Sus scrofa: one gene and its partner. The protein of the gene in region 1 purifies or fractionates together with the protein of each later gene. This does not show direct contact. Links are inferred from orthologs where the notes say so. Each region holds a gene or a part of one and is shown on either strand. Other genes may lie near its edges.

Evidence for each region.
Region 2: the proteins of CHD1L (region 1) and APLF purify together in Homo sapiens (affinity purification with mass spectrometry; 4 studies listed by BioGRID and IntAct, counting the BioPlex papers as one, with this or other methods). This does not show direct contact. The link is inferred for Sus scrofa from reciprocal best matches to the Homo sapiens genes CHD1L and APLF.

Annotation. Positions count from the first base shown.
Region 1 is NC_010446.5:100,295,349-100,299,174, reverse strand, and holds part of CHD1L (chromodomain-helicase-DNA-binding protein 1-like), read left to right. Parts: intron 1-653; coding exon 654-746; intron 747-2,420; coding exon 2,421-2,517; intron 2,518-3,826. UniProt on the Homo sapiens protein: ATP-dependent chromatin remodeler that mediates chromatin-remodeling following DNA damage.
Region 2 is NC_010445.4:73,785,887-73,789,712, reverse strand, and holds part of APLF (aprataxin and PNK-like factor), read left to right. Parts: intron 1-1,109; coding exon 1,110-1,465; intron 1,466-3,826. UniProt on the Homo sapiens protein: Histone chaperone involved in single-strand and double-strand DNA break repair.

The DNA of each region.
Region 1 (3,826 bases):
AGGTCAGGAATTGAACCTGCAACCTCATGGTTCCTAGTTGGATTCGTTTCCGCTGCACCACAACGGGAACTCCTGGGAGGGAATTTTGTGTTCTGAATAGTACTCAGGTCAGCTGCAGTGAAACTGTGATAGAGCATCTTTAATAACTCAAGACTTTATCAGTTGTTACATTTGTGAAATTTCCTCCCCTTCACGGTCCTCCTGGTTTGCCTGTAGTTCAGCAAATACATCTAGGCATCCCAGTCATGCTTAGAAGTATTTTAACACACTGCAAAACATTTTTCTTAAGTCATACTCACTGGGAGGAATTGGGACTGGGAAGGCAGAGAGAAGAGTGGAATTTTCTCTCAATTTGCATTTTTTTGTCCCTTGGCTCTATAATAGCAATTAAAGAAGGAAATTTAGAATTCTGCGAAAGATTAACAAAGTATTCCTGAGTTTGATTTATAGTTAGGCATCCTTCTTAAACCAAGGTGATGATGGTTAAGAAAACTTTATGTCAATGTGCTGTTGTTAATGCAATTCAGTTAAATTTGGGAGGTGAACGTAGGTTTGAAAGATATATTATTGAAATGAGTAAGGTTATGTATGGAAACTTACAAAGTTTTTCCTGTTGTTCAGTAGTCCGCCTCTCTCTTTTTTAAAAATTTCAGATGCATTTGAAAATGAGATGGCAAAGAAAGTTAAACTTCAGAATGTCTTGTCCCAACTTCGAAAGTGTGTGGATCACCCATATTTGTTTGATGGTGAGGCAGTGCCCTTTTTTCTCCTATTACTTTTCATTGTCATTTCTGTGGCCAACCTAATAGCAAAATTCTTCAAAAGATTTGCCTTTTTTACTGTCTGTTTCCCCAGATTTTCTCATTAATTTTTTTGTATGAATGTTATCTAATGTTCATATTTCTTCAGTTGTGCCCTTTATGACTTTGTTTTTCTTTTTTCTTTTTATATTCAATATGTAGTTATAGATCCTACACTACATTTATCATGTCTCTTTATTTTCCTATAAATCTGCAAATATTCCTCAGCTTTTTTTTTTTTTTTTTTTTTTTTTTAATTCTGCCTTGTCTTCCATGAAACAGACAGTCTTAAAGAATCAAGGTTGGTTGTTTTATGAGATGTCTCATAATATGGATTTATCTGATCATTTCTTTTTAAGTAGATGTCTCTTTGTCTTGAAACCCACTCATTGAGCCTTTTGTCACTGCCATTCCTAGTTCACCAGTGGTCTCTGCATAGCTCAACTAATGTTTTTCAGTTCATGTTTTAATTTACCTCTCAAAACCTTTGAAGCAAATAATTACCTCTTTTTTTTTTTTTTCTTCAGTTTTTTCTTTTTCACGGCCACACCTGTGGCATCTGGAAGTTTTTGGGCTAGGGGGTGAATCAGCTACAGCTGCCAGCCATAAGCCACAGCCGCATGGGATCTGAGCCACATCTGTGACCTATACTGCAGCTTGCAGCAGTGTTGGATCCTTAACCCAGTGAGCAAGGCCAGGGGTGGAACCCACATCATCATGGAGACTTGAGCTGAGTTCTTAACCCACTGAGCCACAATGGGAACTCCTAATTGATCACTTCTTGACATACTTTCTTCCTTTAGCTTCTGGGACAATACTTTCTTCTTTTCTACCTTCCTTATACCTACTCCTGTCAGCCTCCTTTATTGCTTCCCTTTCATCTTACGGATATCTGTAAATTTCCCACTAAGTGCTACATTAGCTGCATTCTACACATATTGATATGTAGTACTCTCATTCATACTGGGTTTTTAAATTGTTTTTATTCACACTGATTGGTCGCCTATGGGACAGTTCCAGGCTTCTGTGTCTGTGAGAGCTCTAGGATTGGTATCATCAATGTAGAGGGTTTGTTGTAGTCATTTTAAGGAAATCTTTACCAGGCAGCACTATGAGTTGTTTTAAAATATCAGTGAATCTTAATGAGGTGCATATCAGAGCCCCCCCCCCTTTTTTGAAGAAGGGGGTTGTTGTGAACATGTAGATTTTGGAAGAAGCCCTCCAGGTTATTCCCCTACTCCCACTTTGAGAATTACTAGTTTATACATCTAAGCATATTTCTTGATTTGTTTTCTAGGGTGAGCATCTCAAGATTTCAGTTTCTGGTCTCTGGTCCTTAGCATCTCCCTATGCCTCAGTTTCCTAGAGAGTGGGTTTGTTTCTTGGATAAGCATTTGTTAGGCTTTTGGGGTGTGCCGGGCTCTGTGATAGATGTTAGGCAGTGCTGAGATTATCATTGCAAACAGATAATTATGAAGTGCCTTCAAAGAGGCATGAGACTTGGGCCCTTTATCACTTAGAAGCAGCTTGGCCTCTCTGTAGCCCAGCCATCAGCTTCTCTGTTCAGAGTCTACCCTGACTGGGAACATGTTTACTGGGAGTGAGTTCTTCCTTTTCCAGGTGTGGAACCAGAGCCTTTTGAAATTGGAGACCACCTCATTGAGGCCAGTGGGAAACTTCACCTGCTGGACAAGCTGCTGGCGTTCCTGTATTCCAAGTAGGTGGTAGATTTGTATTGAGCTGGTGGCTGTTAAAGCCAGAATAATGAGCAACTTGCCAACTTCTTGAGCCTAATCCCAGTTCTCCTTTTTTCAGGACTCTGATCTTTGTCCTCACTTCTCTGTAACTGTACCCCTACCCCATTCCATTCGATCCCATGCCACCCTCTCTGTAATCATCCTTTCCTGTGCTGAATTCCCCCAGCACTTAGGATCCGTATGCAACACTTGGCAGTGCACTGCCTTAATCTGCTTATCTGCTCGATTGCTGTGTATTAACCATATCACTACAGATGTATTGTTTAGTTCAGCAAAGACATCAATTATTTCTTTTTTAATTGCCTGCTGATAACCTTGTTTTGAATTGGCTCATAGTAGGTGCTTAGTAAATATTCACTTTTGTAACTTGTGGGGATTAGTTTGAATTCCCTGAGACATGATTTGGGCCTCGGAAGACCGAGTCAATTCTGGAGCCTCTAAAGCTTCAGCTGAGTATTCATTGGCCTGGTGTCCAGCCTGTATCAGATCTTCCTGGTCCCCAGAGGGGCAGAGGAGTCTAGAAAAATCCAAGTTTCCGAAGAATCTCAAAGTTGTCCCTTTGGGATAACTGACCGAAGTAGGGCTGAACCAACCTAAAACCTCAGAGTTGACAAAAGCATCCAGCATTAGGCATGTACAAGTAAAATAATTGCATGTCTTACTCTATTTCATTGGTCATGATATATCTGCAATAGGTGTCTTAGTGTAAGAGAAAGACCCATATCTTCTTTCCAACCTTTTCATTTCACAGGTCTTAAAGCAGGCCCAGAGAGATTGTATGATTTGTTTAAGGTCACACAGCCATCAAATGACAAACTTAAAATAATAATAAAATAATATCTGATGTCTGATAACATGAGGCTCTAAGCTTGACTTTGTATGTAATCCATTTTGCCTCCTCCTTTCCTATCTCCTCTCCCTATGTAGGTTTTCTCATGTGGCATATGGCATATGAGGTACCACCTGCCCCTTGCTTCTCTAAAGTGACGCTTCTCAGAATTTTTAACCAATAATGCTGTAGAATGAGAGGATAATGACTTTTACTCCCAAGTATCGAATGTAGCTGTAGATGGCTGATCACCTTTTCAGGGTCTCCAGTTTTGTTTTTTGTTTTTTTGTTTTTCATGCATTTGAATTTTGTATTTTACTCTTTGCATATATTTATTCTTTTTGCTGTTAAAAGCATGTATTTCTTTCCATATAATAATTGACATCTTAGAAAGGGGCACCCTGGTTATCCCAGGGCTTCGTATACCATCTGGTGCACTG
Region 2 (3,826 bases), on another chromosome or scaffold:
ATAATACTAAAACTAGCTCTTTCCAGAAGACAGCCAGAATACATGAGTTCATAGTTATACATAGGGGTAAATGTTCACGTCTATCAATTATGTTGTCATCACATCCTGGAAATGGTTACCAAGATGACTGGGGTTTATCTGAGCAGTTTCCACTCCACATCAAATATAAGTAATTAAGAGGTCATTTTTAATAGGGTAAGACCAGGCTTACTCTTTGTACTTGTGGTAAGTACACATTAAAAAAGTTCTGTCTTGCTAGTGAAAATATTTACTTGACTCAAAATATCTTTAATTGGTTAAACTGAAACTGTTATTCATATTACTTCAGAGGAATCATATTTATTTTCTAAGTTGGTCATAACATAGACTTCATGCAAATTTTTTGTGAGGGAGGAGCAATTTCATCATTCAGCTATAAGAAAAAATCGTGATTATATTTAGAGGGTAGAAATAAAATGTTAAAGTAACTTATAGGACATTATAAGAAAACTGCATGATAAGAATTTGACATATTGTTGAACAGGTAATTTAAGAGACATTTAAGGTTTTGGGGGCAAAGGTTATATTTAAATGAAAGCAAATTTATAGTTTTCTGATTACTTTTCACTGATGTTTGACACAATTGTAAAGATTTCATGTAACTGTGAACTCCTTTTCTAATACTTGTAGATTATTTCAAAGTTAACAAACTAGAGACATAGAAAATGGTATTTTAATAACTTTAAAATATGAATCAGGAGTTCCGTCATGATGCAATGGAAACAAATCTGACTAGGAACCATGAGGTTGCAGGTTCCATCCCTGGCCTTGCTTAGTGGGTTAAGGATCTGTGTTGCTGTGAGCTGTGGTGTAGGTGGCAGATGCGGCTCGGATCTGGAGTTGCTGTGGCTGTGGTGCAGGCCGGCAGCTGTAGCTCTGATTAGACCCCTAGTCTGGGAACCTCCATATACCACGGGTACAGCTCTAAAAAGCAAAAAAAAAAAAAAAAGGATAAAAAATTTTAAATATACATATTGCACGAATGTTGTAGTTTCACACTTTTACGCTTAAATTTACATTATTTCTTTTGAAACATGCTTTACTTTTTATTTTTCTGATTTGTCTTATAGGAAATGCCACAATCACGTTTTACAAACACATTACACAATACAGAAGTGAATAAAGTGAAAACTAATACACAGAGAAATGAAACCCCGGTAGAGGAACTTGGTGAGGTTTCTGAACAAAAAATCACTGCTAAGGGAACACCAAATAAAGTCGACAAGGTGAGGAGCTGTGCTGAGAGCTGTTCAAGTGCCCAAGGCACATCCTCCCTGGACGAATCTCAAAGGTCTCATCCTGAGTCCAGCTCTCATCCTTTCAATCCTGAAACTTTGCATGCAGAGGCAACCAGGTCAGTTCCACAGGGTTCTGAAGAAAACAAGCTCAAGAGGACATCTTGCATGTATGGGGCAAACTGCTACAGGTAAAATGAAATTACGGGTAGCATATAATTCCATCATTTCAATAGCAGATAGCTATGCAGATATATGCTATAGTGTGTTAAAGGCCTAATAAAACCCAATAGGCTAAAGGTTAGGAGTTTTTATCATGTGTCTGCTCATTTGTACTTTCTCAATATGCATTCTAGCAAATCCTGCTAGAGGCTTTTAAAATAATAGTGAGGAATTAAAAGTTTCATTTGTGGATATGCTAATTAATGCAAGGATCTGAACTGGGGGATTCAGACTTGAAAACAGAATCACTCAGACCTTAAATACATGCTTATTTAATGTCTTATTTAGATGTTAGAAAGATGGGCTTCAAAAATAGTTGTATGTAAAATAATTCTCAAGAAAATTATTGGTTGTGTTTAGGTATCTTACTATACTGGTGAGGTTTTTTTTGGATTTTGTTTTGTTTTGTCTTTTGTCTTTTTAGGGCCGAATCCGCGGCATATGGAAGTTCCCAGGCTAGGGGTCTAATCAGAGCTATTGCTGCTGGCCTATGCCAGAGCCACAGCAATGCCAGATCCGAGCCACATCTGCGACCTATACCACAGCTCATGGCACTGCCGGATCCTTAACCCACTGAGCAAGGCCAGGGATTGAACCTGCAACCTCATGGTTCCTAGTCGGATTCATTTCCACTGTGCCAAGATGGGAACTCCTTGTTCATATTTTTCTAATGGTGCTTTTGAATCACCATGATGCCTTCTAAAACAACTGAATATATATTCTTTGAATTGATTGGTTACTCCCATACTTCATTTAGTTACCTGGTACCATATTTTTTGATTTCATACTTTGTGAATTCAAACTAATTCCTTATTTGTAGTCTCTTGTTCCTCTATGTTTGTACTGACATGCTGATAAATACATAGCTGTATTTCAGAATTATTTCTGTGCCATTACAGCTCATCAAACCAAGTGTCTTATCAATACATTCTAGTACAGGTTGTCTTTTATGCAATAGCATGCTTATGTCACATATTCTCTTAATTTTTCATTCATGTCTCTCTTTAAAATGCAATGCCATTTAGGAAGTTCCCCTGTGGCACAGTGGGTTAAGGATCTGGGTGTTGCCGCTATTGTGGTGCAGGTTGCAACTGCAGCATGGGTTCAATCCCTAGCCTGAGAACTTTCACATGCTGTGAGTGCAGCCAAAAAAAATGCAGTATCATTTAGTACTTGAGTAACGATATTGTTCAATTTCAACAATTATAATTTATGCATCTATTGACAGTTTTATCTATCTGCTGTGGCCTTAGGTCTGCATGTGGAACATAATTTATAAACTTGGGGAATGGAAGTATAAACTTTCTGTTATTTTGGATTTCTGAAAAATCCTGTTTGATATTTGTATTAGTTTACTGTGGCTGCCATAACAAAATACTATGGACTGGGTGGCTTAAATTGCTGAAATTTATTATCTCACAGCTCTGGAGTCTGGAAGCCCGTGATCAAGGTGCTGGCCGGTTTGGATTCTCCTGCAGTCTCTTTCCTGGGCTTGCAGATGGTGCCTTCTCATGTCCTCACATGGCCTTTTCTCTGTTCATGCACATCCTGGGTGTCTCTTTCTCATCTGATAACGACATCAGTCAGTTGGATCAAGGCCCTACCCTTATGACCTTATTTAATGTGAATTAGCTCTTTAAAGGCCTTGTCTCCAAATATAGTCACATTAGGGGTTAAGGTTTCAGCATATAAATGTGTAGGGTTGGGGAGGTATGACACAATTCAGTCCCTAACAGTGTTGGGCTTGTATTTGTCTTTGTTAAATGTGATTGAGTATTTTATCAAGATTATACTGAATTCATTCATATTTGATGATGATACATGTTAGTTTTAATCAGTCATAGCTTATGAATAGTTATTTTACTTTTTCACTGATTTTCATATGCATAATTAATACCTGAGAAACATTTGCCATTGAAATCTTAAATCTTGAAGACAAAATGTTTATATTTGTAACAAAGGGGGAAAATAACCTATTTTGAGTACTCGTTATGTATGTACATCATAACAATCAGTTAAATGTGTCTTTTCTCCAGCCTCAATGCCATGTCTTAGCTCATACCATGACCTCTCTGGGACAAGTCATCACACTTGCCTTCAAGTTCATATTTTTTCTTCATTGTTGCCTGAGTCATCTGCCTTCAAAAAAATAAAAACAAAGAATAAGAGAGAGAAGACAAAAAAATCTCACAGTATTACTCCCTTTTACAGAATTGTTTGGAGGCTATAGCCTGGCTTTCTTAGCATAGTCCAGAAGGTCCTGAACTCTCAGTAATTCTTTGGATGCACCATGCTGTTATGCTGTCATTTGTCTTTTGAACATGCCGTTC